Lepisosteus oculatus: one gene and its partners. The protein of the gene in region 3 purifies or fractionates together with the protein of the main gene of each other region. This does not show direct contact. Links are inferred from orthologs where the notes say so. Each region holds a gene or a part of one and is shown on either strand. Other genes may lie near its edges.

What was found.
Region 1: the proteins of cyld (region 3) and map3k7 purify together in Homo sapiens (affinity purification with western blotting; 4 studies listed by BioGRID, with this or other methods). This does not show direct contact. The link is inferred for Lepisosteus oculatus from reciprocal best matches to the Homo sapiens genes CYLD and MAP3K7.
Region 2: the proteins of cyld (region 3) and spata2 purify together in Homo sapiens (affinity purification with western blotting; 10 studies listed by BioGRID and IntAct, with this or other methods). This does not show direct contact. The link is inferred for Lepisosteus oculatus from reciprocal best matches to the Homo sapiens genes CYLD and SPATA2.

Annotation. Positions count from the first base shown.
Region 1 is NC_090697.1:7,518,720-7,529,021, forward strand, and holds the start of map3k7 (mitogen-activated protein kinase kinase kinase 7), read left to right. Parts: upstream 1-5,172; 5' UTR 5,173-5,407; coding exon 5,408-5,468; intron 5,469-5,819; coding exon 5,820-5,908; intron 5,909-9,789; coding exon 9,790-9,900; intron 9,901-10,288; coding exon 10,289-10,302. UniProt on the Homo sapiens protein: Serine/threonine kinase which acts as an essential component of the MAP kinase signal transduction pathway. Plays an important role in the cascades of cellular responses evoked by changes in the environment.
Region 2 is NC_090711.1:6,397,025-6,407,495, reverse strand, and holds the start of spata2 (spermatogenesis-associated protein 2), read left to right. Parts: upstream 1-6,000; 5' UTR 6,001-6,086; intron 6,087-6,096; exon of another isoform or gene 6,097-7,369; intron 7,370-8,612; 5' UTR 8,613-9,003; coding exon 9,004-9,321; intron 9,322-9,937; coding exon 9,938-10,471. Other genes in the region: E3 ubiquitin-protein ligase RNF114, read right to left, coding at 1,007-1,121, 1,393-1,499, 2,245-2,395, 4,878-5,014.
Region 3 is NC_090715.1:2,178,539-2,189,083, reverse strand, and holds the start of cyld (ubiquitin carboxyl-terminal hydrolase CYLD), read right to left. Parts: upstream 4,078-10,545; 5' UTR 3,987-4,077; intron 1-3,986. Other genes in the region: nod2 (nucleotide-binding oligomerization domain-containing protein 2), read right to left, coding at 5,648-5,720, 6,286-6,369, 7,483-7,566, 8,534-8,617, 8,852-8,935, 9,116-9,199, 9,976-10,059, 10,345-10,545. UniProt on the Homo sapiens protein: Deubiquitinase that specifically cleaves 'Lys-63'- and linear 'Met-1'-linked polyubiquitin chains and is involved in NF-kappa-B activation and TNF-alpha-induced necroptosis.

The DNA of each region.
Region 1 (10,302 bases), on a different chromosome or scaffold from region 3:
AAAATGTAGAACTTTCTAATCTAGCTGAAATATACTGTAAATATACGTATCTACAGAATAAGATATCTGCTCAGAGAGCACTGTGAAATGAAATTACACAAAAAAATGAATTTGTAGAATTTCAGAAGAAGAGTGGCCTGAAAGGTATATGTTATTACTTTCTTTCTGAGTGCTAGCACATGCCCAGTACATGTCTGTTTAATGAAACATTAATAATACATATACTGCTCTTGAAAAAAAAACATACCATTCTATGAATGTGTATACTGTATGTTTTTAGAAAAAGAAAGTATACAGATTGTCGAAAATGATTAAATGTTGTTTAGGCATCATTTTGATAACTTGATTGTGTATAACTGACCAAGATGCACTTGAGTAACATTTTGACTGTTGCTTAAAGTGCTAAATAACTTCATTAATGAGAGAGTCGCCTCTGCACAAGATTTTGTTATTACCGCGGTAACACCTTCGTGAATTTGACTTACACTTCTGCCCGTTTCTGAAGCTTAAATCTCTTAAATCTGTAGGACGACAAACTGAAGATAATAGCCACATTTTCTTCTAAATTAAAATTCATAGATTGCTGTTCTATTTAAAAGGTGCCCTTTCTTAAAGAGATTTTAAATACGAATAAGAATGAATTACAAATGTTGGCACCCTCACAGCCAGAATCCAATCGAGCAAATGGCTGATACATCAAAATGAAGAAACCGATGTTTTACAAAATACTTTTAAAAGGAGATCATATGGCTGTCATCCAGAAGGCACACCTGTGCCAGATGGAACAAGACATTGAGTTAGGGTTTAGAATTTACCTTAGTTTAACCTCTGAGTCAGCATTGTTCACAACAGATGTGATTTTGTTGCAGAAGTTAATGTCAGCTATTTCTAGTCTGTGACGTATGAAGTCCCTGTCGAATTCCAATAAAACTTGTAATACTGCTCCACCTCTATATGTATGCATGTCTCTAAATGTTCAGATGACACATATCATTCTGGTCCAGACGGTTCACGTCAGTTCAGGAAATTAATTATCTTTGAAGTGTAATGCAATTTTGTGTAGGGCAATGGGCACTGATCTCCCTAAAAGGCAGGAGGAAAAAAATGCAGTGAAAGACATCAGAAGTCACCTCAAAAATGATAAACAATGGTCACATTTAAAATAATACTTTACAGGTAAAAGATTTAAAAATAAACACAAAGAATCAGAAAACTAATTAAAGGGTACATTAGCAGTCTATGTACAGAATTGTTTGCAGTTTTAATCAATATTAAATATAGATCAATACAGATCTATAAAATAAAGCACAGAGTTTCATTCATCGTTATCTCAGTAATTGTAAGTCTATGTTCTGAGGAATGAAAAAGTCTGGAAGACATTTAATTGGTCAAGCCCCTGGGGATGAATAAAGTATTTTGAATTGAATCAAAAGACCTGCAACAGATTCACAAAGTTAACTGAAAAAAGACCCAGTCTTTGTTGTAGCAGCAGCTGTCATGTTACTGAACAGACATGACATAGATAGATGTCATTTGGTCACCATTGGAAGCAGTATAAGATCTACACCAGTGATGCTCTGCACCGGGTTGCAGCTGATTGATTTTTCATCAACAGGGATGATGAACTTGGGATCTTGAGTGAAAGTTTCTAGGCTAGCAGCACTGCTGAAAGCTATGCTGTACCTCTGCTTCACATGCCTTGCGCCAGGTTTTCAAATGCAGTCAAGTTGGGTTCTAACCCATTTCTTTCACAGATACTAGACAAGCATGTGCAGTACCTCCCCATTCACTGGTCTCTGTGCCCTACATGCCACACATCATCTCGGTTCAACCCCCAGTGTTCAATAGGGATCAAGTCATGCAGTGAATCGACGGCGACGAGAACTTGTGACATTCTAATCTTGCAGGAGAGCCTTTTGTACACGAGCAGCATTAATGCTCGGCTTTGTCCTGCGTTTGTCCTGCTGAGATGTGCGTCATGTCGGGATGAGCCTACAGGAAGGGCAGTAAGTGAAGGCCCAGGGCCTGATCAATGTTGGGGTGTGCAGTTAGGGTGCCATCAATCACTGGAAGGACAGGCTCCGTAGCTACCAGATGCTCGTGCCCAGAATATCACACTGACGTGATGATGCATCCAAGTTAGGTGTCATGACTCCCAGCCTGTAGCCTAGACTTGTGTTTTTCAGGTTGTCTCAGTTTGAGGTACAGAGAGTTAACGTCTATGTGGTGCCCGCAGATGTCTGTAAATGTCCTGTTAATTGTTTCTGTCTTGGCAACTCTGTAATTCATCGGCCATGACAATTACATTCTTGAAATTAAAATCTGAAGATGGAGGCAGTTAGGAGTTCAAGAGGAAGAGAAAGAAAAGGAGGAAGTGAATGTGTGTGCAAGGCAGCAAGGGGAGAGGACAGACAGCAGACCTTAGCAGTCCAGCGCTGGGGGTGGACGCTGCAATATCATATGTCTCTATTGTGGAAATTTTGTTATATCAATGTTTTGTTTTAGAAAATACATGAATGTATTCATGGTGTTTTATTTTAATAGTTTACTTACATTTACTCCTAGACGTCTGACGTATATTCCTTCTGTAATAAGATTTCTTGTTAGCAGGAAGGTTTCGCTAATCCTTTTAACTATGCAATGTAGCAGTCACATTAGTAATGACAGGAGAACAGTAAGATATTTGTCAACAATGTGTAAATCAAGAGTTCTGAAGTGGTGTACTGAAGAAATATATACAGATGATAGTATATTTCATAATCAAATTGTATTAACTCAGGGCTGTTATGTTAAATGCTCATACTTGCAGTTTTTTTTGTTCTGGTTGTAAATCTTAATGGGAAGAGAAAAGACAAAAAATGTTATTAAAATTGTATAATTGAGCACCATAATTTAAAAGGCAGCATTCAGGATATATTAAAATAATAAACTTCACTATTTCAACGGCATCAAAAGTACTGTAGTTCACATTCTTGCAATACTCGCTACAACCTCTGCTTCAGAAAGTGCATCCCAATATGAAACAAAAAAATCACAATTTTACTCATTTAAAAAAATAACACTGTGCAGGGAATGAAAACCAAAGAAGGTGCCAACTAAAGAGCAAACTACGGCAAATGTCACAAAAAACTGAGCGACAAAAGTTGAGAGTGGGGCAGGAGCCTGGGGCCTATACAGACAGTAAGTTTGCACATGGTGGCCAGGGTCTTTATCACGGGATCCGTTTGTCTTTCCTCTTCAAGCTTCCCCTCAATCTAAGGTCTTCCTAAGGCACAGGGTAGGACGGTGGGGAATCCACAAAGACTGAACTACACACAGTTTGCAGAGACACACGTCAATAATCACACGGTTCAGAGGTGACTTGTGGGATTGCTAGCCGGGAAATCTAGGTCTGACACCAGGGGGGGCCTCTGGAACAGGAGACCAATGGACACTGCTGCCAGTCTGTTGACTGGGCCTCCAGCCGTTAGCTCTGCCCACACCTTAGGCATCACCAGGACACACCCACCCCTCAGCTTTCGAGTCCTGATCTCTGGAGCAGGAAGAGGCTTCACAAGCCCCACTCAGGAAGAACTGAAAGAGAAGAATTCGGGGAACACGGGGTTTCACCAGAGGGCGGACTATAGGAGAGGACTTAGACATCACAGGGGGACTCTACACGGAGCAGCAGAGGAAGGCTCAGGCATCATCTTCCTTCCACCCTCACCTGTACTTGACTTGTACTCACACAACACTAGGAAACAAGGCTGGGGAAAGGCATAATGGACCACATGTCTCTGGAGGCCAAAGCTGGAGAGAGCACTTACTGCAGGTCATTTAGACCATCAACGTTTCTCTGCCTTTTGGCTAAGATCAAGTGTAGTTCGTGCAGTTTAGGCCACTGAAGGACCAGACGCGAGTTTCGTCTGTTTGGTCTGCTGTGGCAGAAAGAGCCAGACGCCGGGGGCCAGCTGGAGCTATTTTCGGAGAATTGCGCTGCTGGACTTGTCCTGTGGGACATTGGTTTTGGGAAACTGTAGTCCATGGGGCTCTTGTGCTGCTCCGTGTGCTCATGTGTGTCGCTTCTGGTTACTTTTCCATGTTTTCTTTTACAATTAATGTTAGACTGTACTTGACAGAGGAACAAAACTATAATGATGTAGATTAACTGTCTGGTCTGATCTGTGGTTCCACAGATATAAAGAACCTGTTTTGAGTGAAACAGGGTCTTAGTGACTACAAGCTACAACTGTCCAGCAGTTGAGGTCCGATACTATCTATCCGCAGCACAAACAACACACTTCTCTTGTATTTCTGTACTCAGCAGCACAGTAGACTTTGCAAATCCAGTTTAACTCCTCATTTTAATTTATTTTCATGCAGTCTCCTTAATATTGGTTTCCTCCTCTCCTCTCCTCTCCTGCACAAAAACAAGATACTGTACTCCAGATGGGCCCCTTGACTACACCAACAAAATGAATTTTAAACAATTGTATTTTTAAGAGTAATTCAACTGGCTGTCAATTATCCTTAATTTAAATAAGGAGTGTAAAGGAGTCTCTTAAAAGAAGCAAGATCCCATTTATGTTATTGTATTCAGTAGAATATACTACACTGCTACAAACCTCTATGCAGACGAATAAAGGACTCAACTTCAACCTTTACTCAACAACTTGGTTGAAAGATGATTTATGCGTGTCGCCCCTAAGGAAATCACAGGTGTCTCCGAAAGATGACTGGGAACTGGTAAAGACCCTACAAGCAGATCATGAAAACTCACATCAGGCTCCCTAGTCTGCCTTCAAGCCCCGGGGCTGTGACACTGTGTGAGACTCACCACCTTCCACCCCTGTGCTTATCAGACTTCCATGCATTTGAATGTGTCCATCTACTGTATGGATTTTTAAATATGCATTTAATATGAACATTTCTTAACCAATGCAGGAAACTAACGGGGCCCGTTAATTATTTTGCACCCCAAAAAAAAACCATGTAATTTCAAAATGTTAACCCCGGTGTTAAAACGTATACGCGTTTCAGACGAACCCAATGCAATCGTAAAAACTACATCTGTAACTAAGATCATAATGTGGTCTGTAACGGGGTATTTTTTCGGGCAATTGCAGATACCCCTGTCCGCCCCCCCCTCCTTCACAGCTCAAGCGCCGCCTCGGCGGGCCGGCTGTCGCTGTCAGTAGCGCCTCTACGGGCGGGAGCACGAACGCAGCGGAGCCGGAGGGGCGCCTTTCCGAGCAACACCCACTTCCTGGAGCTGCCGCAGCAACTGCGGAAAAAAAAAAATACTGTAGTCAATGGAAACTCGGCTTTAAACTTATATCGCCGGATCAAATGGGTCCGAGATACTTCTTCCTTTTTGGGAACGGGTCTGCTCGTACGCGCGGGTTGTAGCCGCAGTTCGCCAGAGTAAATGACACGCACCTCCGCTCAAGGCACAGCGCCGATGTGGGAAGCTCAGTCTGCGGCAAGGGGTAGTCAGTTCATCCCTAGGCTGTAGCCAGGCCGACAGCGGCCTAGGCGCTTAATAACTAATCGTTCAGTAACAGTGATTTTAGTAGCTGTAAATGCATACTTTTTTTTAACGTGAGGTATTTATCCACGTGTTGTTGTTTTTTTTTTAGGTTAACAGCATCTTGCTGTCAGTAGGCTATATTAGCAACGTCTTCAGACTTTTTTTTTCCAGACTGTTGTTTACGTTTGCAAAGTAATAATTGGTCTACCAGATCAGTTGTTTCTGTTGTTGCTCGTTATTACGATGAATCTTATGTGAACTTTTTCGCATTTCCGGATGTTTTTGATAACCCCTCAACTTTGACGAATAGCGATGTCTGCACCGTCCGCAGAAATGATTGAAACTCCACCAGGATACCCTTTCGAAGAAATTGATTATAATGATATAGAAGTCGAAGAGGTAAGGTTTTAAATAAGGGCAAGTCTTTTATCTAGGCCACTTAGAGAGGACTGAATTCAAGGGAATGTATAATCACTTATTGAAACATCATTTGAAGTCTGCACTTCCCACGGTTAGATGCAATCTTTTCTAGGGGGGCTGATTGATTCGTCTAGGCTTGTTTTGGCTAAGAAGTTAAATTTACTCCCCGCAAAACTGCAGCTCCGCGATTTATTAAATTAATATTTTTGGGATTGTGAAAAGGCTACGACGTTTTTTTTGTGTGGAAATAATCGGCTGAATGTTACATCTGCTGTGTACCACAGAATAAATGCATATAAGTTATTTTTCCTCTGCTCTCCTCCGCATATTTCGGTTATCGCGATTGATTTAAGAGCTGCAAGACCTGTTTTCACTTTTTAGCATTGTATTTTGTGTTGCACATCTTGTGTGAAGAAGAGAAAATCCCCTTTATGCGAGTGAATTCTACAACAGTGGTTTACAACAAGGCCTTCATTAAATATGTATTGAGTACTGACAACGTAGTTTACTGTGGTTGAAAGGGAAACAACTTACACACTATTTATTAATAGATATCGAGTGGAAACATTAGCATTTTAACCACAGTGCATTCCACAGAGTGGTGAATTGTAACCGTATTTGTTAAGTAGACTAAAACCCACAGTCTGTTTTCGGAATGCCCGCATTGCTCAAAAGAACAGCTTACAAAATAATAAACTCAGTTGCTCCTGCTCAATGCATTCGCAAAACAAGGAACTTAGAAAAGGTTTCGCTCTGGGCCAAAATTTGCTTCGATTATTATGCATTATGCAGCCAGATAATTTTCCAAAATCATACTTCAAACACTTTAGAAATGAGTGCCCTCACTCCTTACTAAGCCGTGCTCCGTTAACCAAGACAGCAGCTTCATAATGACTTTACAAATGGTGAGATGTGACTGTAGAAAATGTTAATTCTGGTGTGCCTGTTCTGCACTTCTTGTCATTCCCCGAGAGTGACATGTGAGAATGTGGGACATGCCAAGAAATGTACGCCTGCGAATTTGTGATTGTGTACAGGCCTCGCTGGTTCGTTTGACTCAGTCACACTGCAATGCTGCAGCTGCTCACTGAAAGAGAAGGGAGACATGCTATGGGAATTGTGCTGACAGGTGTGTACCTACGGGACAGCAGCAGGGCCAGAAACCGATAGGACACACGCTTTTTTGGAAAAAAAAAACAGTCCACCCACCTGAGGGGTCACTCCTGGATAGCAGCAGCAGCTACAGGTGATCTTGCAATAGAGCATCACGGACGATTCATGAACCCAATTATGGCCACCAGAAGTCCCAGGGTTGCCAGTGCCGGTACCTCTGCAATAGGAATGAACTCACTGGGCTGCACTGACTATTCTGTTCTATGATGAATTTCTCTTCTTCGCACAGGAGAAATGTTTGATGGTGGTGGAGTCATGCTGTAGACGAGGTGGGATTTTAATTTAGGAGTCTTTATTTTTGCTATCGGTTATCCATTGTACTGGCATTTTAAGGCTTGGCATCAGCACCACTAATAACCTAATGTTTTGGTACAGTTATGATCAAAACCCACGTCGCAACAGTCGCTCAGTCCTCCCAGCCGCGTTTTGGGAGCAAGCTCGTGTGCTGTTCTTTTATATTGCTGGCTTTAACCTAGTCCGGCACCTGTGGAAGAGGTTGGTGGAGACATGCAATGTGTCAGCATCTGCTCATGTGTAAAATTCAGCTTTTGTTAGGGCCTGGCAGGTGGTTTTCAGACTGAGTTGGACTAACCGTGGGGACACCAGCAAGGTGCAAGTGACTAACTATACCATTTCACATATACTCTGCTGGACTTTCAGACGTCATCAGAAACGTTTCCAAAAGTAATGTAGTTGTCCTTGCCCAAACCTGTATCTAGAATAAAGTTACCTTTTTCTTGTCTGATGTCTTGAAATGGGTTAGTTTTCTCATTTTAAGAGTATGCTTAAGTGAAAAGTTAGAGAATTATTTCTCATGTTCATTACTTTTAATTGTTCCTTACAGGTCCCTCAATTTTCTTTGCAAGGCGATCTTAACACATTTTAATATTGCTGTATTTTAAAATGCATTATTGTAGTGCTTTTTTATATAATTGGCATCCCTGTTATCCACCAAAAGAAATTCAGACTTTCACATTTTAGACTGGTGTTGACTGAGTTGTATTCCAAACACATGGGCACTTAGATCCCCTTATGACGCAATAGGGATTTCTGCACCTAAGTGCTTTGGATATAGGGACTGATGTGTTTGAGGTTTTGCTGATTTTTAAGCAATTAGCAATATCATTTTTGAGGCTTAAGGTTCTTACTGCAGAGATCAACTACGGGCGATATGTTGGTTTAGGAAGTCTGTAATTCTGTCAGTTACAGTACATGTGCAGTATTGTCTTTTGGGTGCACGCTTAGCCTTCCCTTCAGATGATGTTTCATTTTAGAGGAACAGTATCTCTTTTCCACAAGATGGACTTTTTAGCTTTGGGTATCCATTTTCACCGTCTGAAATGGGCACTGCTTTATTCAGCAGAAAGCTGTAACGGGCACATGCAAAAAGAGACAGAAGACCTCAGGTCAGATGCTGAATTTAGCCAATAACTATGTTCTGTTCGAGTGTTAAATCTTAAATTAGTTGTATTTGGATTGAAATACCCACCTGAATTAGTATCATAGTTTGCCTGAGCTATGATATCAGCTTTAAACTTCAGTCTTTAGAAATTGGATTGTGGTATTCAGCATTCCTCGCCAGCCTTGTGTTAGGGACAGAAGTGCTGAGTTTTGGACTTCAGACTGTACAGCATCTGCTTAGTGTGCTTTATAATAAGTTAAAAAGAGTAACCTTCATGGTATTAAACTACCTGGAAGCCTATAGTGATTGCAAGCTTTTCTTTTTTCCATTCCAAATTTCTTACTGTTCCTGATTGAATTACAACATGTGTAGCTGATTACATATGGAAGGTAACATCGACATTTCAGTTGTGAGATAGTATGCTCTTTTGTCAGCCAAGATGGTGACAAAATTATTTTTCGGTTATCATCTTCAGCACTAGTTAAGTGATTGACTGCTTCAGGTTTGCGAAACACAAGTTGTGTAAATGGTACTTCTTCATATCTCTTTGTTACCTCCTTTAGGCTGGCATTCCAAGGACAATCAGAATCACGTTTTGAAATTGTTTCCCTTTGTAAAACACGATGTCCATCTCACCCACTTTTTCTGAGCTTACCTTGTAGTGCGTTTTCAGCATAAAACATTTTTCCCACTGAAAAGCTTTAAATCCATTTTCTCAATTTGGCAAAACCGTCGTCCTGTGTACAGTGTGATTCAGATCTTAAAAAAACAGTGCTCTTGCATTAACCAGGATGACTTCCTCCCCCCATTTTGATCAAATTTCAGACAGTTTATTTAAAAAAATGGTTTAGGCAATCAACGCCATATGTGAAAGAAATCGCTGCTGATTCATAGTTTGAAAAAAATGTTCTTCTGTAAACCAGGATGGCTTTTTTCTTTGGAAAGGAAGCTAAAAAAAACTATTCCTTTGTAAAGCAATGTGATTCTACTTTTCACTACAGCCCTTTTTTGCAGCTAACATCAGTGTTCATGCCCCTGGTACATTTTGCTGCAGTTATGAGAAGGGGGTGTCTTAGAAGCCTTATAACTGTAAGAGCTTCTGTTTCATCAATGGATATCTTTTTCCAGTTGCTCAACTAAAAGAGGATAAAGGAATGACATTTTAGAAACAGAACAGTATGCAAAAACCCGCAGTCACAGGCAAATTGCCTTTCAGTCATGCTAATTATGATGTTTGTCTTAATATTGCTACTGTTTAACAAGTTGCTGATTTGCTGTTTTGCAGGTTGTTGGAAGAGGAGCTTTCGGTGTTGTCTGCAAGGCTAAATGGCGAGGCAAAGATGTGGCGATAAAAACCATAGAAAGTGAATCTGAAAGAAAGGCGTTCATAGTTGAGGTGTTGTTTTTTATACTTCATAGTAGGATAGTGTCTTTTTACTTCAAGGCAAGATACCTCCTGGATGGGATGCCTGTCCATCACAGGGCACACACAGACACAGTGTTAAATGTACAGTATATTCAGAACACAGTTGATGGCAGTAACATAGCTATCATGCCTATCATGTACATTCGTACTGATAAAAAAATAAGATTTTGATGTGTGCTACTAAAAGCTTTTAAAATGCTTAGAAATATCTTTTTAACTTAATTATAAAGACTTACCTTTATAAATATGTAGAATATTACAGAAAGCCATTTCATTGTCTGTAGTTCTCCAGTTTTGTACAACATTTTATGGAGGTAGTATATGGGACTTTATTTTCTGTTTTTTTTTTTCTAAACAGCTGCGGCAACTATC
Region 2 (10,471 bases), on a different chromosome or scaffold from region 3:
CTCATTAGGTTGACTTGGTAAGACGACCTGGCTAGGCAATTGAGACAGGAAGATATTTTTGATGACGATAATAACAATTACTTGCATCTATAAAACATTTTGCATCTCGCAAGGTCTCAAAGCACTTTATGCAGGAGGCGACCCACTTCATCCACCAGTGAAGTGCAGTACTTGCTTGCATGCCACTGCAAGCTGCACAGCAAATCAGGTGCAGAAGTGAGACATTACTGAACCAGCTGAAACAGAGAGGAAATTTAGGGATGCCAGACTATGCAGACTAGGAAAAAAAATGAATTTAGTCTGAATACCAAGGTTAAGTGCTCTCTCTTACAAACAGTGTCTAAGGATCTGACCATAAACAGTATGGCTTTGGATTACTGGGGCATTAGTTTGGAAATTCAGATGGAAGATTGCCACTTTACTAGTCCAATAGCATTATTTACATCAGCAGCCTGGTTTTTCTGACATATACATCAGAGCAATGAAGCCCTGTCTGACAGGAACGTTTCAAACTCAGTAAAAGAGGCTTGAAATTGGCCTAAAGGGTGGCTGAACTTGACTAATCCTTAGACTCCAAGTGCCTCATGCCTGGGCTGCATCGTTACCCAGCTGTTACTCCCCTAATGTCAGTATACAATTGGTCAAGCTTGAGACAACCAGGTCTTTCACTGTTAGCTACTCAACAGCATCATCCCAGGGGACCTGTCAGGCAGTGCTGCCCGTGAGAGATGAACTGCCTCTCCCCTTGGTGGAGCTTGCAGAGAGTCAAACAGAGAGTGACTCTGACAGCGGGATGAGTGCGCCCACAGGCCCGTGGTCTTTCTGTGTAGTACAGGGGACTGCACGAGCACGACGGCTCGACAAACAGATGATGATCTAAAACCGGGCAGGTAGAAAAAAATTAAACATCCACCAGTTCCAACACTCCGGACAAAAAAGAAGCTTCGCGGCCTACGTTAAGAGGGAGAATTCACAAGTTTTTTCGGAGCATGGAAGTGCCACTCACCACATGACGGGAGTCCCTGGAGTGCTGGGAAGTGCAGTGCTCCACCAGCCCGTCCTGGTCCAGGTTCTGAACGTTGCAGTAGGGACAGGTGAAAGTGTAACGGTTTGGAACCGAGCTGGGAGGGAAAGAAAGATTTCATCCTTGCAGAACTCCACTCAGGGACACCGCACCGGCAGGTTGCACAAAGTCCTGTTTCTTTTAAACCTAAAAGACCCTGAGAAGATCCGATTACTGGCATCTTATTTTTGAAAAGAAACAGCTGAGATGGGCGGAGTATCATCAGCAAAGATAACAAGGAAGGTAAACACACAGCAAGAATCCTGACCGCATCCAGAAAGTACAGGGCAGAATGTGGATGGAAGTAGATGGAAAGCCCATCCTCTTACCTGACCACAGAGGGCTGGGACTTCACAACAGTTCTCACCCCCTCATCAATATACTCCTGATACTTGGGGCAGACAGCTGTGTGGCTCCGCATCTGGGACAGACGCACCTGTCAGGCAAAGCAAAGGACTTGAGAGTAATTACGCAGGCAGAAGTTTTCATTTCTTTAAACAAAAGACAAGTGCAGTTCTTGTATGCCCACACAGTTCCAGAAGGCCCAAGCTGTTCTTTAATAAGAAATAAGCACTGATTTTGAGTGTTAATAAGTACTAAGTGTCCTGCTGCACAGGAATTATTCCAGCAAAAACACCGAGTGTGAAAACACATTCTTTTAATGTCTGCTTGATCCATCCATCCTTTTTCTAACTGCTTTATCCAATTCAGGATCGCCGCGGAGCCAGAGCCTATCCCGACAGGCAAAGTGCGCAAGGCGGGATACACCCTGGATGGGACACCAGTTTATCCCAGGGCACACATAATAACACCAGGGCCAATTTGCCAGAATCCAGTATGACTTAGGGAGGAAAGCAGAGCATCCAGAGGAAAACCTTATGACAATGAGGAGAACAATATAAAATCCCTGCGTCCCAGCACCGCAATACTAACTGCAATACTGACCACTGATCCACCACGCTGCCCAAGCCTGGTTGATTTGTCTTTTAACCACCCTTTCTGAATGCAAAGATAAAATGTACACATAGTCAACTTATGGAAATACAGCCCTTAGCGCAGAACAAACACATCAATACAAAATGGCTCATGTTATCAAGCATACACTGTTCCTAAGTGTTGCCGATACCCCTTCATCAGTATGACCTCTCTCCCTCAACACCAGAGGATAGTACAATGCTCACCTCTGTGTGACAGCCTTTGCAGGCTCCCAGCGAACTATGAATGATTGCTTCCAGTTCTACAGCATTGGACCACTTGCTGAGAGCAGTCCGGCAAACTGCACACACAGGCTTCTGGGGGCGCAGGCATTCCTGCAAGCAGCTGCTGCAGAACCTTTGGGAAAAAAGCAGACCCCTTTCTTAAGCCTCGGTTTTATGGTGGGGCTTATCCAGTGTGTCACACAGTTGCTTAAAATCACTGGCAAAAGGTGGACGAACAAAACAGATAACACACTAAAGCAAACAAAAACCTAGTAAATGACAACTTCAGCATATGCAGTATATTGGCAAAAATAACATAATGCTCAGGAACAGACAAGTGCAGGTGTCGAGCAGTAGTGATTACGGTCCAAGTATAGATTTATATAGATAGTATAGACAATCATACATCACAATGTGCAATACCATTAACTGGATATGCAGAGTACAATATGTGCAGGGCAAAATCAGCAATGCAAAAAAGGGTGGGCTACAGATTTCAAGTGTAAAAAAACATTTTTAATCGCACATAAACAAGTAGATACATCAGTCTGGTCTATTCCCGAGTTTTGCTCTTATCGACTCTCTGCCGACACAAATTCCTAATAAAACTATATCACAGTATATCCTTGTTAAATTTGATTTAGATAGCAAAGGGTATAATACAATAATTTACCCCTGGAAGCTTCAGCTAATACTTTTATTTTACAGTGCATGTATAAGAGCACTTCTTCATTCTCTCTATTTCAATCTGATACCAGTTTGCCTAAAGGATAAGCAACTAGTGAGTTTAAAAATCATAAATGTATCCTTTTACTCAATTATAAAAGCAGAGCAGAACTATTTTTTTCAGACAGCTGACTTTTTTTTTAAATGTATGACATTATTAATTAGGGGATACCCTGTTGTTGGCTGTGTTTTTTCCCCCATGGTCATGAATCACCTTATCATGAAGCTTGCATTGTAGGTACCAGCTCGTCTAGTCTGATATTTGGTTCATCACATGACTTCCTGCATTATTATAAAAAAAGCTCAGCTGAGCATTAATTGAGTCACAGTGGGGGGAAAAAAGTTCTGGATTTGGCTTTCAAGAGTACTTAGCAAAGAGATTCCAGATCCGCTATGAGCAACCAAGTGAGTGCCAGAACAGAGGGAATTGTGGATATTAGCCATTGCAGTGGCTGTGGTACAATGTTGCCTTGTGTTTCGATTTAATCCCCTAGGAGATTATGGGGTTTTTATATCATTAGAAGGCATTATAAAGTCAGGTCAGTTTTCTTCTCCTCATTCCCAAAAGGAAACATCTAAAAATTAAAAAATGTAGGCCTATACAAGAAATGCAGTCTGTTACATTTCAGAACTTATCATTCTTTGAATTAAAACGTAATCATGAACGGTTATTTTTCCGTTTAAAACAAGCCAGGAATCGTCGTTAACACCCCCCATAGCATTACAGTAACCGTTTCAGAGTCCTAATTTCTTGACCCATTTTTTTTTAGATAATGAGAACGACTATTCTCATTCGTAAGCACTAACAAGTAGACCTCTGAATTTGTGAGGGACAGGGCAAGTAGCCTACGCTCTCATATATTCCTTTTTGTTAATTTTACAACAAATACTTGAAGGTTTCTATAGTAATGTCCCAGCTTTCTGTAGATACAGTAGCTATAACTCACTTGTTTTTTCTCGTAACAGATGAATCCGTAGCTACATACTCGTACTTGACTATTACGAAATATCTGTAACTAAGGCCTTCTTCATTCCTAAAAAAAACGTGGAACTTGGGAGTCTGCACTTATGGGTGCAATTAGTGAGAAAAACATGCACCACAGGTATTACGAATTCCTGGTTATCTGTCGAGTGTAAAATGTTTGGAACTGTTAACAGAGCGAGCTTTGAAGTAAATAATTATGTACAGAAATTAAAGACATCGTAAAATTTAAAAAAATAACCCTAACATCTCTTTAACGCCCGATGAGAATTGTTAAATCGCGATGGTCTATAAAAAAAACAAATGAGACTTATAAAGTTGAGAACATTTGTATAAACCAAAGATTTTTATTTAAAAAGTTAAAATTCTAACAACATTTTTGTATGTAATCACTACCACTCGATTTATGCGTTTATCGCGCCACAAAAATGAAGCTGTCTGGAAGCTGAAAAGAAACCTTAAACACTTTCTTTTAGGACGAAATCTAAAAATAAATTACCCTAAAGTAACGGGGGTTTCTGTGATTTGTAGTCCGACTGCAAATACAACACCCTAACATTTAAACCATTGACAGCGCTACAAAAAATACATATCCCACAATGCAGCACACTCCTTAGATGTAAACAAAAGTGAAAGTACAAGCGTTCATCATTCTAACATACAGCCTGAAAATACTAAATAAAATGACAATTGAGCATGTTAAAGCTTTGAATCCTGTTTCAAAACATGAAAACTAATGTTAGATGTATATATACATTTACTTTGCAGGCACTGTTTTATTATCACGGTTAGGAGACTAAAGCAAATGACAGAACTAAAACTAAAAACAGAAAAAAATGGGCTGTGGATATATCTCCACCCATATAAACAAATATTTTTAAAAAAACGACCATGTATTGAGACTCACGTATGCCCACACTGTGTTGTAACAGGCCGGTCAAAAATCTCTAGACACACTGGGCACACGAATTCTGGCATATCTCTCTCGCCATCCTCCGTGGTTTTCTTCTTAAGAACAGTATCTAAGCCCCCAAACATCGCCATTTCTCGCACAGCCGCTCCTGTTCCTGTCTTTTCCGTGTAAGATGCCACGAATATCGCGTCAGCTCTGAACCTGCTGTAGGAGGGGCGAATACAGCAAACTACATAGCGGCTGCCTAGGACATGGGCGAAGTGAAGACAAAGCGGAAATTGTAGCTCTTGACCATACCTGGCCAGGGTTAACACCTCGATTAAGGTTCATTTCTGGGCATATACATATTTTGCCATTTCATGAAAATAGTTGTTTTCAAGGAGATACTGCAGGAGTAATTACTGTATATCTTAAGGAGAACACATGATCTTATTTAGAATTTTCATTTTTTTTATGGATGGCCTTTTAAACTCAAAACCGTCAGCCAGTACTTCTGTTCTAGGGAAATTCTCAACATCTAGATACTGTATATATAAGACAGTTTCCCTGAAACTCTCATTGACGGCTTTTGAAAGTTAATATCACTTTGAACATGCATGCTCAATGCTTCCTAAAATGTTAACGTTCTGTTTTTATCTTAATTGATAAATGTTTGGGAGGCATCATGGTGTGGAGATACAGTAACTAAGTGTGGTTTCCTTCCATTGGGAATCACACATTTATGACCTACTGTAGGTTTCTGTCTCTGTGGAGTTTGAATGTTCAATGTCTTTGTGGGTTTCCTTGGCTGGGTTAACTACTGTCTCTAAATCAGGGGTCTTCAGCCCTGGTCCTGGAAAGACCCAATCCAATTATTCATATAGATCAGCCAAAAGTACCTGTTATTTAAAGATTAGGCACTCTTTTTAAGCAAATGCTCAATACCAGGTAATGTTTATAATGAAACACTATGCTTTGAGGGATGAAGGATATTCTAATCTCGGGATCCGGGTTGGGGACCAGAGGAAGCAGACCTCTTTTTCTGTGATAGATCCCGGGTTGCCGCGACCCTTGTCGGGGTGTATATAAACATTTTATTTAGAAAGTTGTTCTGTATAGCGCGCATACCCGGCGCCTGGTTTTGAGTTCACGCGCACGTGGAGTGGCGTAAGCTACGTAACGCATGCGCAGAGAGACGGTGGGGATTTCCAGCAGAATGCGAAGGTAAGGAGTGGGGAGAGTATGGTGGCGTCTTTTAAAAACAGCTCGGCTGGTTTAAAATGAAGCATTTCTCAGTGCGTCTGTTTGACTTGTGACTGCCAAAACGCAGTTCTGCCCATGCGGGCGCAGGGACTGGTTGCTGGTTGTACGCATTAGGGTTTCAAGGCGTTGTTTTATAATCTGTGTATGTAGATTCACTGAGGCGGCTGTAACCACTCTGTTGATGGGGGCCGAGTCCGAGTAACTGACAAGTCAAGAAATGATCTTTGCCTCCGTGTAAAAATGATGTTTGATGGGTCAGGCGTCATCATTCTAGACGACAGTAAGGAAGAGGGTGTGCGTGTAGTGGAAAACCGGAACCAGTCTTATTGGCTTCCTTGAATAGAAAAAAACATGTATAAAATAAATCAGATTTTTTTTTCGTGTTCGGGAATTATCTAAAGGTGACGTTTTTCTCCCCCAAGATGTTTCGTTTTACATCTGTTAGCTATGAATTTTTCTGCATTTTTTAGCGTTACTGTGCTCCGCTCGTTGGGCGAGTGAGAAAGTCATATCCGCGATTCAGTGGGCTGGGGGTGTGTACTCGCTCCGTGGACGGATTGCATGCACATCCACTGACGCTCGCCAGAATTGGAGACATTTCCACACACACACACACGCAGTATCGCACATCTTGGATGAGATTTTCAACGGCCTAAAAATATTAATAAAATGTGCCAGGTTGATGGGCTCAGATAATTATCTCGGCTCCCTGAAACCGATCCAGTTAAACAGCGACAGCCTGCAATTGCAGAATCGTATCTGCTTGATTGTTAAGGCGATAGGCTAGTTTCATACACCCCAAATTTTCTAGTAAAGGTTTGGACTGTTTCAACCAATAAGCGAGGCTGAAGTAAATTTTGAAAATTCACGCGTAGAAACTAGATATTTGGAATCAAACACCCATGCAAAGGACATGATTAGTGTGGAGCCTTATACAGCCCTAGTAAAGTCTGACACGAGGGAAATGCTCAGTTCTTCCGCCCGTGGCCTTTACAGAAGGCGTCTCCGACGCCTACACGTTGTGTGGTGGAGAGGCGATGCACGTATTGCGACCAGCCTCCAGGTCCTGCACACAATCCTTTGCTTTTTTTGGACTTAAGAATGTGCAGGGAGTCCGAAACAGCAGAGGTCCCCTTTTTGAAGAATTTCAATGTGAACGGTCTTTTTATGGACAAGGGTCCTTAGCTTACCCAGCCCTGGCAGTGGGCAGCCCAGTTGGAGTGAAACCTGGAGCATCACAGTAGGTATCACACAACCCTTACTGACCTTTTGTGGATGTTTCTCGGATTGCCCTTTCAAATTCATCCCGCAAAGCCCCGTTTTGTTATGTGCAAGGATACAGCACTAAACGTTAGCAAAAAACAGCCGTAGTGGCTGATGTGATGCTCGCAGTCATTCAAACGATTTCTGCCTTGCTCGCTATAGTACTGGGATGCATCCTGAAACATTGACATCAGTTGTAGTTTGAGGTTTGTTGTGCATGTCTTAAAAGAAGCAGGAGATATTTGCACATTGGTTATGTGTTTATGTTTTAAAGACAATATGTTCCTTGGGATTCAAAATATTGTGATGGCTTTTGTAAATTATTCTAGCACTTAAGGTGACATCAGGGGGTTTATAGTTAGAAAAGTGAAAAACACTTTATGCTTAAGGAGATGGTTATAAATACATTGTGCTTTAATACAATGGTACCAATGGACTTTTTATCTGAAAAAGATTAAAAGTTTTAACTTTATTATACCACTTCATGTTTTCAGTAACAGTGCTCATCAGGAACACCTCTATGAGGTGTATTTTAAATCCACAAAATCTGGAAACAGCAGATTTAAAAAGCCATGAGTCTTTCAACAAAAAAACAAGTTCCATGTTTTTCCTGTCCTGTAATTGTTGTTCTGTATCTGCCAACGTTTACAAAATGTGCCTCTATAAAATCTTTGTAAGATTTTTCCTTGCTCTGTAATGTCGCTGACCTATTCTAAGATTTACAGTACTTTCCAGAAAATGTGTTGTCGTGGGCTCTTATCTAGGCTTGATTTACACAGTGTACACACACTTTCACACCTGCGGAACCATTTAGATTTGCCTCCTCCATTACAGAGTTTCTGCCAGTAACAAATTCTCAGTGTGAAAGGCGGACATGTTGCAGATCTGCATTAATCCCAGGTGTTGGGTTTTTTTTTTTTAATATTGCTGCGGTGGAACCCTTGAAAAAATGTGTGTTCAAGATATTCTATAAACAAAAATACTAGCCGAAATGTGTCCATCCTTGCCGTTACCAGTGTGTGTATTCAACAGTGTGCAGGGAATGCTTGCTTGTAAATAAATCAGTACTTTCATGTATAGTCAAGCAGTTTATAGCAGCTGAGTAAAATGTGCTTGAGATCAGGCAGAACCTGACATGTTGATTGAATCCTAACTGGCTGTTACATTAATAAAAAAAATCTCTTTAAGTAGTTTCTTTAGGCATGTTTTTCTTCTGTCTTGCAGCCCGGGGAATCGTGCGGATGGTTAGCCTGGTCGGTCATCCCTCAGCGGCCTGTTATTCCCATACTTTGCACTGAAGACGGGGTTTACTTGGCATAGCCTCCGGAGCTTGGATTTCTGGATTCAGATAACCTGCTTCACACAATGTGAACGTGCACTCCGCTTCCCGTTTCACTGCTTATTCATGAGTGAAACAGCCCGGGACGTTCCAAGTCCAAGATCCCCATGGGAAATTCAAGGTGCAGCATCTCCTGCTGAACAGAAGAAATGTGGCTACCATGCAACTTGTGACGCAGCAGCGTGTCTGAGCAGGCCTTCTCCCAGCTGTCTTGGAGAGTCTTTGAAGCAGGGGGTGATTATGCGAGTCAGGCAGTGACCCAGCCTGCTGCTCCAAATGGATCCCAAGCTGCGAGAGGACCTGTTCAAGAGGTATGTGCAGTGCCTGGAGTCCAGACTGGAGGAAGGAGGCGATGGGCAGCAGGTGGCGGTTGAGACTGGGCTCCATGCGGCTGCCACGGCTCTACTCAGTGTCTACCAAGTGGATCCAGCTCAGCGGTTCCGGCTCGTTCGGTTCTATGAGGTGGCGGAAAACGCCCTACGCACCCTGAGGAGCTCCAGCCTGCAGGCCTTAGAGACGGCTTTTGCCACCCTGGAGACCATCTGTACCAACCTGCTGCTGTACCCCTGGAAAAAAGAGTTCCGCAGCATTAAGGTACGTGATGCCAGAAGACAAGGTGCCCAGCAGCATGGCGAGTGAACGGATAGTGATGCTTTTCTAGTTTTCTGTTATATAGTTCAGGCTTCATTTCTGGATGAAGCCATTTAGAAACCTACAAATCATCATTGAACCCCAAAGTTAGCAACTGTCAGTCTCTTGCTTGTTTTTATTCTAGCTTAATGAGATCAGGTTGGACAGCTGTGGTTAGATCATGGAATTGTAGAACAAATCAAATACATAGTAGAAAAAGTTTCACTGAAGCAAATTTGCTTAATAAAATTAAGATCAAGATCAAGGCTTTATAGCTTTAAAGCCAGATTTTTAGATGTTTTGAGCAATTGAAATTGTTTAAAACCATTTAGATGGTTTAAAGCGGTTACAAAATGTGCATGCATGAATTGTAGGTTTCAAACAGTATCTTATCTAAAACGAAATTGAATGCATATTCAGGTTAGCAAAGTAAAACTATCTGTGAAGAAATTATATTTTAGTTAATAGTAGCAGTTAGTCTGTCAGCAAAGCAGTACAGTAAGTTGAAGCTGTATAATCTAGAACTAGAAGAACCCATAGGCATGTCATGTAACGCTTTCTCTCACCGTGTTTATTATAGACCTTCACAGGCCCCTACATCTACTACCTGCAGTCAGCACTGTGCGACTCGGACCTGCGCTCCCTGCTGCGCTCCATAGGCTACACCCGAGATCAGGAGATGCACTTTCACGCTCGTGAGCACCCAGGAGGAGCGCCTCACCTCCGCCAGCTGGCCTTCGAGCTGTTTCTGGCCCGGGCAGAATGCCGTCTTCTGAGAGAAGTGGCCGTGCTGGCGGGCGGGGGCACGTCGGAAGTGGAAGCCGTGGAAATGCGACGGATGAGCCGCGACGACGCCGCGGGCTGCGCGGAGGCCCTGCGGAGGCGCGAGGTCCTGGCGGGAGAGGTGTCCCGGCTCTCGGTGCGGCAGCCCGAAGCGGAGCGCGCCTACCTGAAACGAGCCAACCGGACCTCGAAATCGGTGGACGTGACTGACGGCGCGGGTCACTGGCAGCAGGTCAGTAAGCCGGTCTTAAAGGCCTCGCTCAGCCTTCGGAAGGAGCCTCTCTTTGTGGACGCGGAGGAAGACCTGCAGGACGAAATCATCCGGCCCAAC
Region 3 (10,545 bases):
CACTGCACCAGTCGGAAGGAATCTCAGCCCTATGCACATTCAGGTTTCTTTTAACTCTGAGCCAGGACAAGCAGTATATGCAAGATCGTGAATATAAAGAATACCTGTCTGCTGAAACAATATCTTTCAAATCAAAATCATCAGTAAACTTTAAAGGGTTTTGACCATCTCTAAACTTTCATTCTCTCCATATAGCTCTAATGTCAACAGATTGCCTGAAGAAAAGTGACATTTTCTGCATGGGACCGGGATTGGGCAGTGAGTAAATCCCTTGTTGACATACAGTTAATCTTTGACTAGAAACAGGACACTTAATTCAAATTACTTCATGTTGTAAAACAAGCAATAAGCAAAATAAGAGTAATAAATCAGTAGACAATGTTAAGACTTGTTTGGTATTATCCAGCATACTTTTTATTCTCAGGGCATAGGTTATGACATGTCTCATTCCACTGTTAGCAGAGCAAGGTCCCTAACTGCTATCTGTTTTAAACACTACAGTCTGAATAATAAATTACAGGTAATGGGGATCACCTCCACCACCACCAATGTGCAGCCCCACCTGGATGATGTGACCCGTTATTGGCGGGGAGGAGAGCAGAGTAATGAAGCCAATTCATAGATGATTATTAGGAGGGCATGATTGGTAAGGGCCAATGGGAAATTTGGCCAGGACACCAGGATAATACCCCTACCGTTTTCAAGAGACGCCCTGGGATTTTTAATGACCACAGAGAGGCAGGACCTCAGTTTTACATCTCATCCGAAGGACGGTGCATTTTAACAGCATACTGTCCCCATCACTATATCGGGACATTAGGACCCACACAGACTGCAGGGTGAGCACCCCCTGCTGGCCTCTCTAACACCTCTTCCAGCAGCAACCTTAGTTTTTCCCAGGGGTCCCCCATCGAGGTGCTGGCCAGGCTCACACCTGCTTAGCTTCAGTGGGTTGCCAGTTGTGAGTTGCAGGGTGATATGGCTGCTGGCCACATGAATGCATGTATGCATTGCTCTGGAAGGTTCATCAGCTATCCTTTTTAAAAAAAATGCAGTGGAGCCTGATATGAGGTTAGTTTCTGAGCCCATAAACAATGAAACTGCAAAGTCTTAACAATGAAGATTCCTTTGGAATGTTTAGTTAAGACAATTGTGCCCAGCTGAAGAGAAAACCTTCAATAGCAACACCTAAAAAAAGACAAGGCACATCCAGGAAACAACAACCATTATGAATAAGTACAAACAGAACCTACGAACAAGATTACTATGTTAAGTAGGTTATTTTCACAGGTTAAAAAAAAAGTATATAAAACAACAATTAGAACTAACAATTACAGAATAGCTGGTTATTTTCAGAACAGTAATTTGGAAGTGTCAGCTGTATCAAACTTGACTCTGCTGCTGTAGCTTCAGCACCATGCAGGAGATCCAGGAAGAATCCTGGCTAAGCAATCCCAACCCTATCCAATAGCAGACGGCTAATTCCACAGAACAGCCTGGGGAATTTGTGTTGTTCTCGGACTTGCCTAGAGATGGGTAGTTTGCCATGTGTCCCCACATGCTGCACTGGGTGTTCGAAATGTCAGAAAAGCAGAACAGAGGCAGGTCCTCGCGGAAGCCAGCACTGGGCTTCTCCTGACTCCACAGGCCCGAACTCATGGCGGCGAGGAGGAAACGCGACTAGGCTTTGCGCATATTAACATCGGGGACGCCTGCTCTAACCGCCCGGGAGGTAACACTGAGAGGACTACTTCATGCCACTGGCATTACAGAGGTGTATAATAATCACATGCTCTGAAATAATGACCTCATCAGTTTAGAACTGTTTGGTATAATTTATGTTTTATTACTTAGAACAAAATTTCCCATTTTAGGGGCAAAAACACACTGATGTGCGACACCCATACAGCAGTGACAGTACAGCAGAAATGGAAAGACTGGGTGGATACTTTGTGTTGTTTAAACCCACTTAACACAACAGCACAGAGGGGCAATCTTCTTTGCACTTCAGAGAACACCTGTTGCTATATGTTGTAACCTAAAGATTCTCCATCAGAAAGCAACAATTTTTCAGAATTTTCATAGGTCTTGGTTCTCTAAGAAGAACACCAAATTCAAAAATGAAGATCTAAAGTACTGCCTGTGTGATCAGCTGATCGGACAATGGATTTCCCCCATGGCCTCAGAAACTCCGAGATGAAGCCACAGAAATGTTAAAAGGGCTAACAGGGAAATTCAGACTGAACCACACACTGCAGCTGTCCCACCCACACCACACAGCCCACACTGCAACCCATCATCAACCCACACTCTGCAGCATTATCCTACACAGCTCAAAAACTGCATTAATGATATTGGTGCACTGAGCATTACACTAAAACAAGTGAAATGGGACACCTCTGATCAGCACTTTGCTGCTGCAGAGAAAACTTACTTTTTTATTTCAACAAGTAAGTAGGTTCAGTGGTGTGTTTTGATTAGGAAAAACCTGGAGCTGGAAGAACACAAAAAAGTGAGTTTTAGTAGCTGTGAATCGAATTCTCCTCCGGTGCCATTTATTTCAAATGTAATTAATCACAGGCCTGAATTCCATCGCAGGATAATCTCAGCACACGGACTGTCAAGAGATCAGGGCCCAGCATCTCACCCACTATCAGGTACAATGTACAGCAGCATTAAACATGTTGCAGTGCAGTTGGCAGACTGTCTTTGAGCGGCTGTTCTTACTGTATGAGGGATATGCTTCTCTTGGTACTGTAATCTGCCAGCACGCTCTCCTGCATCAGTCTGGCACCCACGAGAAAACAAACAAGCGCTGCTCACAGTAGATGCTGACAATCATTCTCTTACAGTGCAAAGAATGGGCCTTTCACAACACAATAAAGATCTTTTTGTTTAACACCGCGTGCTAGCTGGTACATTGTCCTGAAAATCAAGCACTGCTCTGCTTTAGGCATTTGCCTACACACCTTACAATACTAGACCAATCCCTAGAAAACAATTGCAGGGTCCTTCTAACACTCTGCATGTCCTCAGCTCAGACAGCTAGAAGAAGTGCAGTTTGCAGATATAAATGACCTGTGATCATTCTCCACCTGACAGCAGGGAAGGGTGTCGTTCAGCATTCTTCATTAGCCAAGAGTCAAAGCACGTGCCAGCAGGCTGTGACAAAATACCAGCAATGGAGTTTCAGAAGGTCAAAATGTGACGAGCCGTGCCTGAGGCCTATGACATAGCTAGCTCCGATAGTCATGACAACAACCCCATGCTGTGTAAGTTATATAGTGACCATTATCCGATTCGTCCGGATGTCATAGGGTGGGGATGAAACAAGCGATTCCCCGTCGGAAAGAGGTCGGTTTCACTGATACTGTAAATTAGCAGTGACTGTCCTAGGCAAAGCGCGACACGTAGGGCTCGGACTTCATTAAGGAGCATTACTAGTTAACAGGCGGTACGAAATACAACAGTGACGTCATTTAAAGTAAGTCGACACGTTCCGACCCCATCCAGATAAATTCACCTCTCCCATCGCAACGCTGACCTCTGCGACATTACGTGTAACAAAGACATTCAGCTTCGGGCTTTATTCCCTCGGGAAAAACAGAGCCTTTCACAAATAACCGAGAGCCAAACCGGACTCGCCACATCAATGACAACTCGCCAGGGCATTTTTTTGACAAGCCGGCGCATCTCCGGTCGAAGTGACATCACCCCTCGCTGAGCCACTAAACGACACCAGAGAGAATGGTGTTTTTTCTTCTTTTTTTTTTTTAGAGGAAGTCCTGGATAGCCGCTGTATTGAGCCGATATTATTAGCTGTCCACTGGTTACTACATTATGTTTGCCGGGGAGTGTATCCGGGAAGAGTTGAGGGTTGGAATAGGTCCCAGAAACCAAAGCTACACGATGTGCTGAGATAGTGGTGCGGGTTGTAGACAGGATCAGCGGTCCGCTTTCACGCTTTGAAGCACTTCCAGCCTTACCTTAACTTCGCTGTCACCAGCTACCTGTTCTTCAGCCGGCACGGTTTTTTTTTTGACTGAACTGCTGTCACCAGGATCCAAAATATTGGTCGGGGTCCGCCGACAAATTATACCGGGCTCCTGTCTTCTCGCCACAGACGCGTCCAAACACGGTGATTCTAAGAGCTCACATTCTCTCAGGGTTTCGGAGCCAGGTAAGAACGTAGCAGGGGAATAAAATAAAAGCAATCTAAAAATAGAACCCCTTTTCAGCAAAATGTGAAGATTATTTACAAGAGGAACCTGGTCGACCAACCATGCTGTCAAGTCCCTTGAACGTTCATTGGCAGTTGAGCGCCGGCTCGAAGACCTCATTGGATGGAAGACCTGTGCTTTAGTTTAGGCCCACCCACCCGAGGCGGGGATTTCCGAAGCTTGGTTGACGCGCGAGGGGGCGGGGCGCACGTTGGGTCAGAGCGGCGAGCGTGCTGATCGCGACAGTGGGCGGAGCGCGGAAGCTGCTCTTTCTCATAAGTGAGAACAGGATTTTTTACTACCGTGTGCTGCCACGGGTCATGGAAAAGTTCAGTCAATGGTACTAGTTACTAATGCATTAGTCTTTTCTTTGGTAGTCTAGGATGTTGTTACAAAGCCCTAATCAGCATTACTAATACTATTACATTATATGCTGGTGTGGTTTAGTTTTCTGTCAGGCAGGTTGATGTGGCTTGACTGAAAAAGCATGGCACTGACTCCAGTCCACTGACAGCTAAAAACAGACTTAGCCTTAGTTCCTGACAGTTCGTCCAGCACCATATTGCATTTAAGTGTCAGTCAAATTTTGAAAACATTTAAAACCAAGAAGGGAAGGCACTGCTGTAGGGAAAGGGTTACAGGAGTAACAAAAAAAGGACCAAGTCAAAACCGAGAACCTGGGCTTCTTTTAAGAAACAGCCAGACTCGCTCCTCAGATTGATTCACCACTAACCCCCCAAGCAAGCTTGAGGAACAAAGTGGCCTCTTCTCAGTTGTACCTTTGCAACTGAAACATGAATTACTCACGTGCTGTCTGTACAAACGTACTCGTGCGTTGTATAAATGTTGTTACACATGCTAAGATATTAAAGATAGTTAAGAATGCAAGATTCTGCCCTGCGATGGGCCCCGTCTTGTACACTTTGCTGGCTGGGACAGGCTCCAGCTGCCCCGGGCCCCTGACTGGGAATGAGCAGTCAGAACAGGGATGGAGGGTGGAAGAGAATATAAATTCAGGACCCCGCGTTTTACCTTGACTGGCACAGCCGCGCTTCACCCTAAGTTTATTCATCAGAAAAACGGACACACCTGCTCAGAAATATAATTCTGCTACAGAATATAAAGAACAAGCAGCTTGATAAGGAGTAGCGATGCCATAGTCTCTCGTCATCAGACATGAGGATCTGTTCTCAGCTGCCTTGTCTGGTTAAATAAAGGAGTAGTAATTTTGTTTTAAAAATTCTGACGTTTAACATAGCCCAGTGATAGCCCGGATAGTCATTGTGAGCTGGGAAAGGAAATGTTAAGATCTCCCCTTCTACAGAGTGTCTGCGTGGTCTTGGGTGGTGAAGATGTGCACTGCAATTCAGCAGGATGAGGAGGAGTGTGAGGAAGGCTGCAGGAGGATATCCTGAGTGATCTGAGCATCACAACGTCAGCCGGCTCTCCTTGTGGGCGAGTTCTTCTATGTCCTCTGCTGTCAGGTCATTTCCTCTCAGCCTTCACGGAAAGAAGAAAGATGTGCAATGAGGGGTTTATTTGAGCTACCCCTAGCAACACCTATGAGAAGACACACTTGTGCAAAGATCCAAGTACAAATTCCTGGAGTGGAGTTTACCACTGCACAAATGACGACTATTAATTAGGGTCGGCCATGGATATAGTGTCTACTGGACATATTTGTTTGAAGTTGTGTGGTTTATGGTTTCATAAAGGATTTGGCTGGTTAAGACTGTTACACAGTCGTGAACAGTCCTAATGGTACAAATGTACCAGAGAGACGAATTAATTCATCTTTCCTCTCCCTGGCCTGCTCCCCAGTATCAAGACGATGACACAGAGGGCGCTGTCTTTCCGTCCTGGCTCGCTTCGTCACTGGCATCGTGCCCAGCGGTCGGAAAGCCGAGCGCAGGCTGTTTCCTGGCAACAAGCTGCGCCGCTCGGAACCGGGGGTGCGCTTCTCGGCTGATCTCCCCCCCGCTGCCCACGTCTGCTCCGCGGTGCCGGCCAGTGTCTCTCTCGCCGGCCGCCCCCTGCATCCGGCGGGCCGGGGAGGAAATCTTACCAGATCGCCTTGACGCTGGTGTTCTTCTCCAGCGCCGCCATCAGGCACAGCACCCCCTCTCGGGTGATGGAGTTATTGGTTAACCTCAGTGACAAAAGAGGAAAGAGCCGACATTGTGATTCTTACGCAAGAGCCTGAATGGAGCTTCGTTTGGGTTTGTTTTTAATGCTACATTTTCATTACTAGTAACACAGCACTATGCATGGCACAATAAAAGGACCTACATAATTTAAACCTGTGGTAAATTCTAAGTGTTAGTCCTTAAGTTAAAGTTTTCATGCATGTGAAATGCCATTTTGAGTACTGATCTGCTGGTACCCTTGACAAATGTCATAAAATAGTTTATATTGTCTTTATTTAGTTTTATAGGTCCGGACAACGGCTTAGGTATTGAATATCTTAAATACAAAATGTTATTAGCAAATAAGGTGTTGCTGGCAGTGTTTGAAGTTGCTTGGGTGAAGGTTCAGGAAACAATGTTCAGGGGAAAACTCAAGTGAAATTAACATACCACTAGACAGCAGAATGCAGAATTTGCGCAGAAATAAAATGCAACTTCTGTCCAAAGAACCAGAATGAATCGTTCCTGTAGCCAACAGCCTGTCCTCTGGCTGACTGCACCAGCCTCTCTCCTCATGCCTGCACTCGGGGTATCTTACAGTATCTCTCAGGCTGGTGAACAACAGGCTTTGTGCTGCTATCAGGTGGCATCCTCCTCATCTGCTGCTTAGAGCCTAAGAGACCACTCTAAACTGGTCGACTGTGCTACTAATTAACTTTTCCGCTAATTACTCGCGGTCTGAATATCGCCTCTAATACATCCAAGTCCTCTTCTGTAGATGTAAAGCCTGCAGATTTTTCAAATTACAATCTGAGGATTAATTACCAGAATTTCATAATGAGGTGGATGCACGACAGTGAGCAGTGGTGATCTTGAAATACAGAGCTCAGAACACAGTAACTCAATTTTAAATAGATGATGTCTGAAGCCAACTAAGCATGGGTATATCGTCTGGAACATACCATGGTATCCAGAGTTTGTACTACTTGTACTGGAATGGTACTGGTCCTTTTGGGACGAGATATGGTGGTTTTTGAAATGTACAGCTTTTCTTCACCCTGCAGTGATTTGGCCTACGCAGAGACCACTGGTGAACCAGAGCCTAGCTGAGCCAGTCTACAGAGAGAGGCACTCACCATAACTCCTCCAGAGTACTGCTATTCTTGATCACTGCAGTCAGCGCACGGGCTCCAGAACTGCTCACTCCATTGTCCACCAGACTGCAATCACAGCACAGCACGCGACACATCAGGATAGGTGCGGCACACATTTTTAACACCTTTCATTGACATTGCGCTGCAATCATCCTGATGTAACGGGCGGAGCGGTGGCTCTGTGGTTAAGGATCTGCGTCTGTAGCTGGAAGGCTGCCGGCTCGTATCCCGAGGAATCAACTCCGTTGGGCCCCTGAGCAAGACCCTTAACCCCCAACTGCTCCAGGGGCACTGTATAAATGGCTGACCCTGCGCTCTGACCCCAAGCTTCTCTCCCTGTCTGTGTGTCTCATGGAGAGCAAGCTGGGGTATGTGAAAAGCCGAATTCCTAATGCAAGAAATTGTATAGGGCTAATAAAGTGATGTTATGTTATGTTATAACCTAGATCTGTATCACAGTGGTTCTCTATCCATGTCCTGGAGCACATCCATGCTCAATCACCGGTGCCTGGAATTGATCTGCATGCTGCCTGACTTCTGTCTCCAGCCCTTTAATAGGCGATGGAACTGAAGACAAGGGAGAATGACACTGCATCAGTGCACTATAGCCACGCTGTCTCTTCTGTACCAAGCCACAGGCAAACACAGAGTTAAGTTTATACAGCTGCTTGAGAAACTACAAGGGGGAAATTCTGCCATTAAAGAAACAGGAAGGCTGTGACCGGGTTTCTCAAGCACGGCTGCACAGCTGGCTTCCGTTTACATGAGCACCGTTCTCTTGGCTCTTGCACCATTGTGAGACCGGCTCCTCCCATCAGCACCCCTCCTGTCAGACTGGCACCTGCAGGGCGTCACGATGATGCGTGGCCCAGAGCACGTCTGCAAACTCTCACTCTCCCCCCCGTGCAATCATGGGAGATCTACTGGCAGGTGGAAAGGTTGGTCTTAACCCATCAGGAAGTCCAAATGAGGTAGGTGCAAAAAAATAAAGCATTGTAGCCATGTGACTTTGTGCATGCCCAGTTGTCTTTACCTGAGCCACACCAAGCTGGGGCTTTTCTCCAAGGCCTCTGCCAGCGCCTCCGTCCCCTGGTCTCCGATTTTGTTCCCCCACAGTCTAGAAAGGGATGCAGGGACAGGCCTGTTAGACCACCAAGACATCACCCTCCTCTTGCTCCTGGCTGGCTGTGTGGGGATGCTCGTGGCAGTCAATATCACCAGCACGAGCCAAGACAAGCACTCAGCGATGGATTGGGAAACGTACTACAACCTTGATCTTTAATCATAGCCTGCGCAAGCAGCGGTGAATCCGGAAGCTCGCTGACGTGGCACGCCGACGAGCGACTCTCACCCCAGGTACTGCAGAGAGCGACTCTCCCTCAGCCCCTCTGCCAGCTGCTCTGCCCCTTGTGCAGTGATGTGATTGTTTCCCAGCCTGCAACAGAATAACAAGCCATCAGGAGCCAGCAGTGACGGAGCCAACTTCACTGAAATCAGTTCAATGGAAGAAAACGTGCAGAACAGTAAAAAAGCAGGCCGGTTTTCCCATCCGACATCCACCAGAATAGACATCCTACCACACAAGGACAAACAGGAAATGCCAGGTAATTCTTACCTTAAGGAAAGAAAATTTTTCTTCGTTCGGAGAAGTTTTGCAAAATGCTTTGTGCACTCATCTGTCAGGTTGTTATTAAACAGCCTACAGGAAAGGTACAAATGAATAACTCATTGTAAATACCTATTATTTCATTTCTGGGATTAAGCTTTAAACTTTAGCCTCAGAGGACTCATGTCAAGCATGACATTGAAAAGAGGCAGGTTGGAGGTAAATAATTACACCTACTGCGTTTCTGGTAGAGGTAAAAATTCTCAAGTTATCCACCCCCAGAGGTTAAATGGGGTTTGTACTGCAACCATAAATTGGAATTGGAGTCGATAATAGGCCATAGAAAAGACTAAAAGACTACCATTCTTTGAGACATCCTTTATCTAACCAACAACAACAACAACAAAAAAAAAGAAAATGCGCTTTCATGTGAATAGTTCTACACTAGATACATGTTGCCAAGTCACATACACAGAATGAACTCATTTGCACTACAAGGGGATTGTTTAATTAAAACAGTGAAAATGAACTAGTCACAAGTGTTCAATAACTGGAAACAGAATACAATATTTTGAAACAGCGGTATCACAACCTAAGATACAGCAACTACACAAAGATATTGGTCTCACTTGCTTATTACTTTGTGTTTCTTACCAATTCAAGACCAGGACTGTCAGTCTGGAGCGGAGTTGATAAAGCGCATTCTCACTGAAGTTTTAGTTTTGTCAGGTTTTACAGACTGTAACTCTCTGTCCTAACACATTTAAAAATTTAATGTGGTTAAATCCAAACAATTGTCTGTTCACAATATGAACTTGTCTTTCTTATTATCCTGTGTGGGTTGGTGTAATGCAGGACGATGTACTCACGCAATCTTCTGAAAATGCTCACATTCGATGCCCCTCTCAATCAGCTTGGAGATGCCTTCATCGGATACGTTATTGTGCCGGAGGCTGGGAGGAGGAGGAGGAGGTCAGAATGCAAAGGAGACATGTGCTTTATAAACTGTTCAAGATAAACCGGTTCTCTAAATTGCAGTGGATCATGTCTAGCTGCATTTTGATGGCACAGATAAAGAAAAGCAAGGCAAAACTATTTTCAGTGTAGGAATCCCATACACTGACATTCTTTAACATTGCAGACTTGTGTTTGCAACTTGAAATACTGTGGTATAAAATCGTGAGGCTTTCCTAGATCCTGAGGGCACTTGTCATGGTAAGGGAAATGCATGCACTTACTAAATGGAATGGCACTTGTCTAGGCAGGGCAGGAGCTGCTCGATTCCAACATCGCCTACTGAGTTGTAGTCCAGCTGCAGGCCGACGGGAGACCTCAAGTGACGCAGGACGAAGGACAGGGCGGTGCACTCCACGGGACCGATGCCACAGTACGTCAGCTTCAGGTGCTCTACCTCCACCTTTGCCATGGCCTCCTTCGCT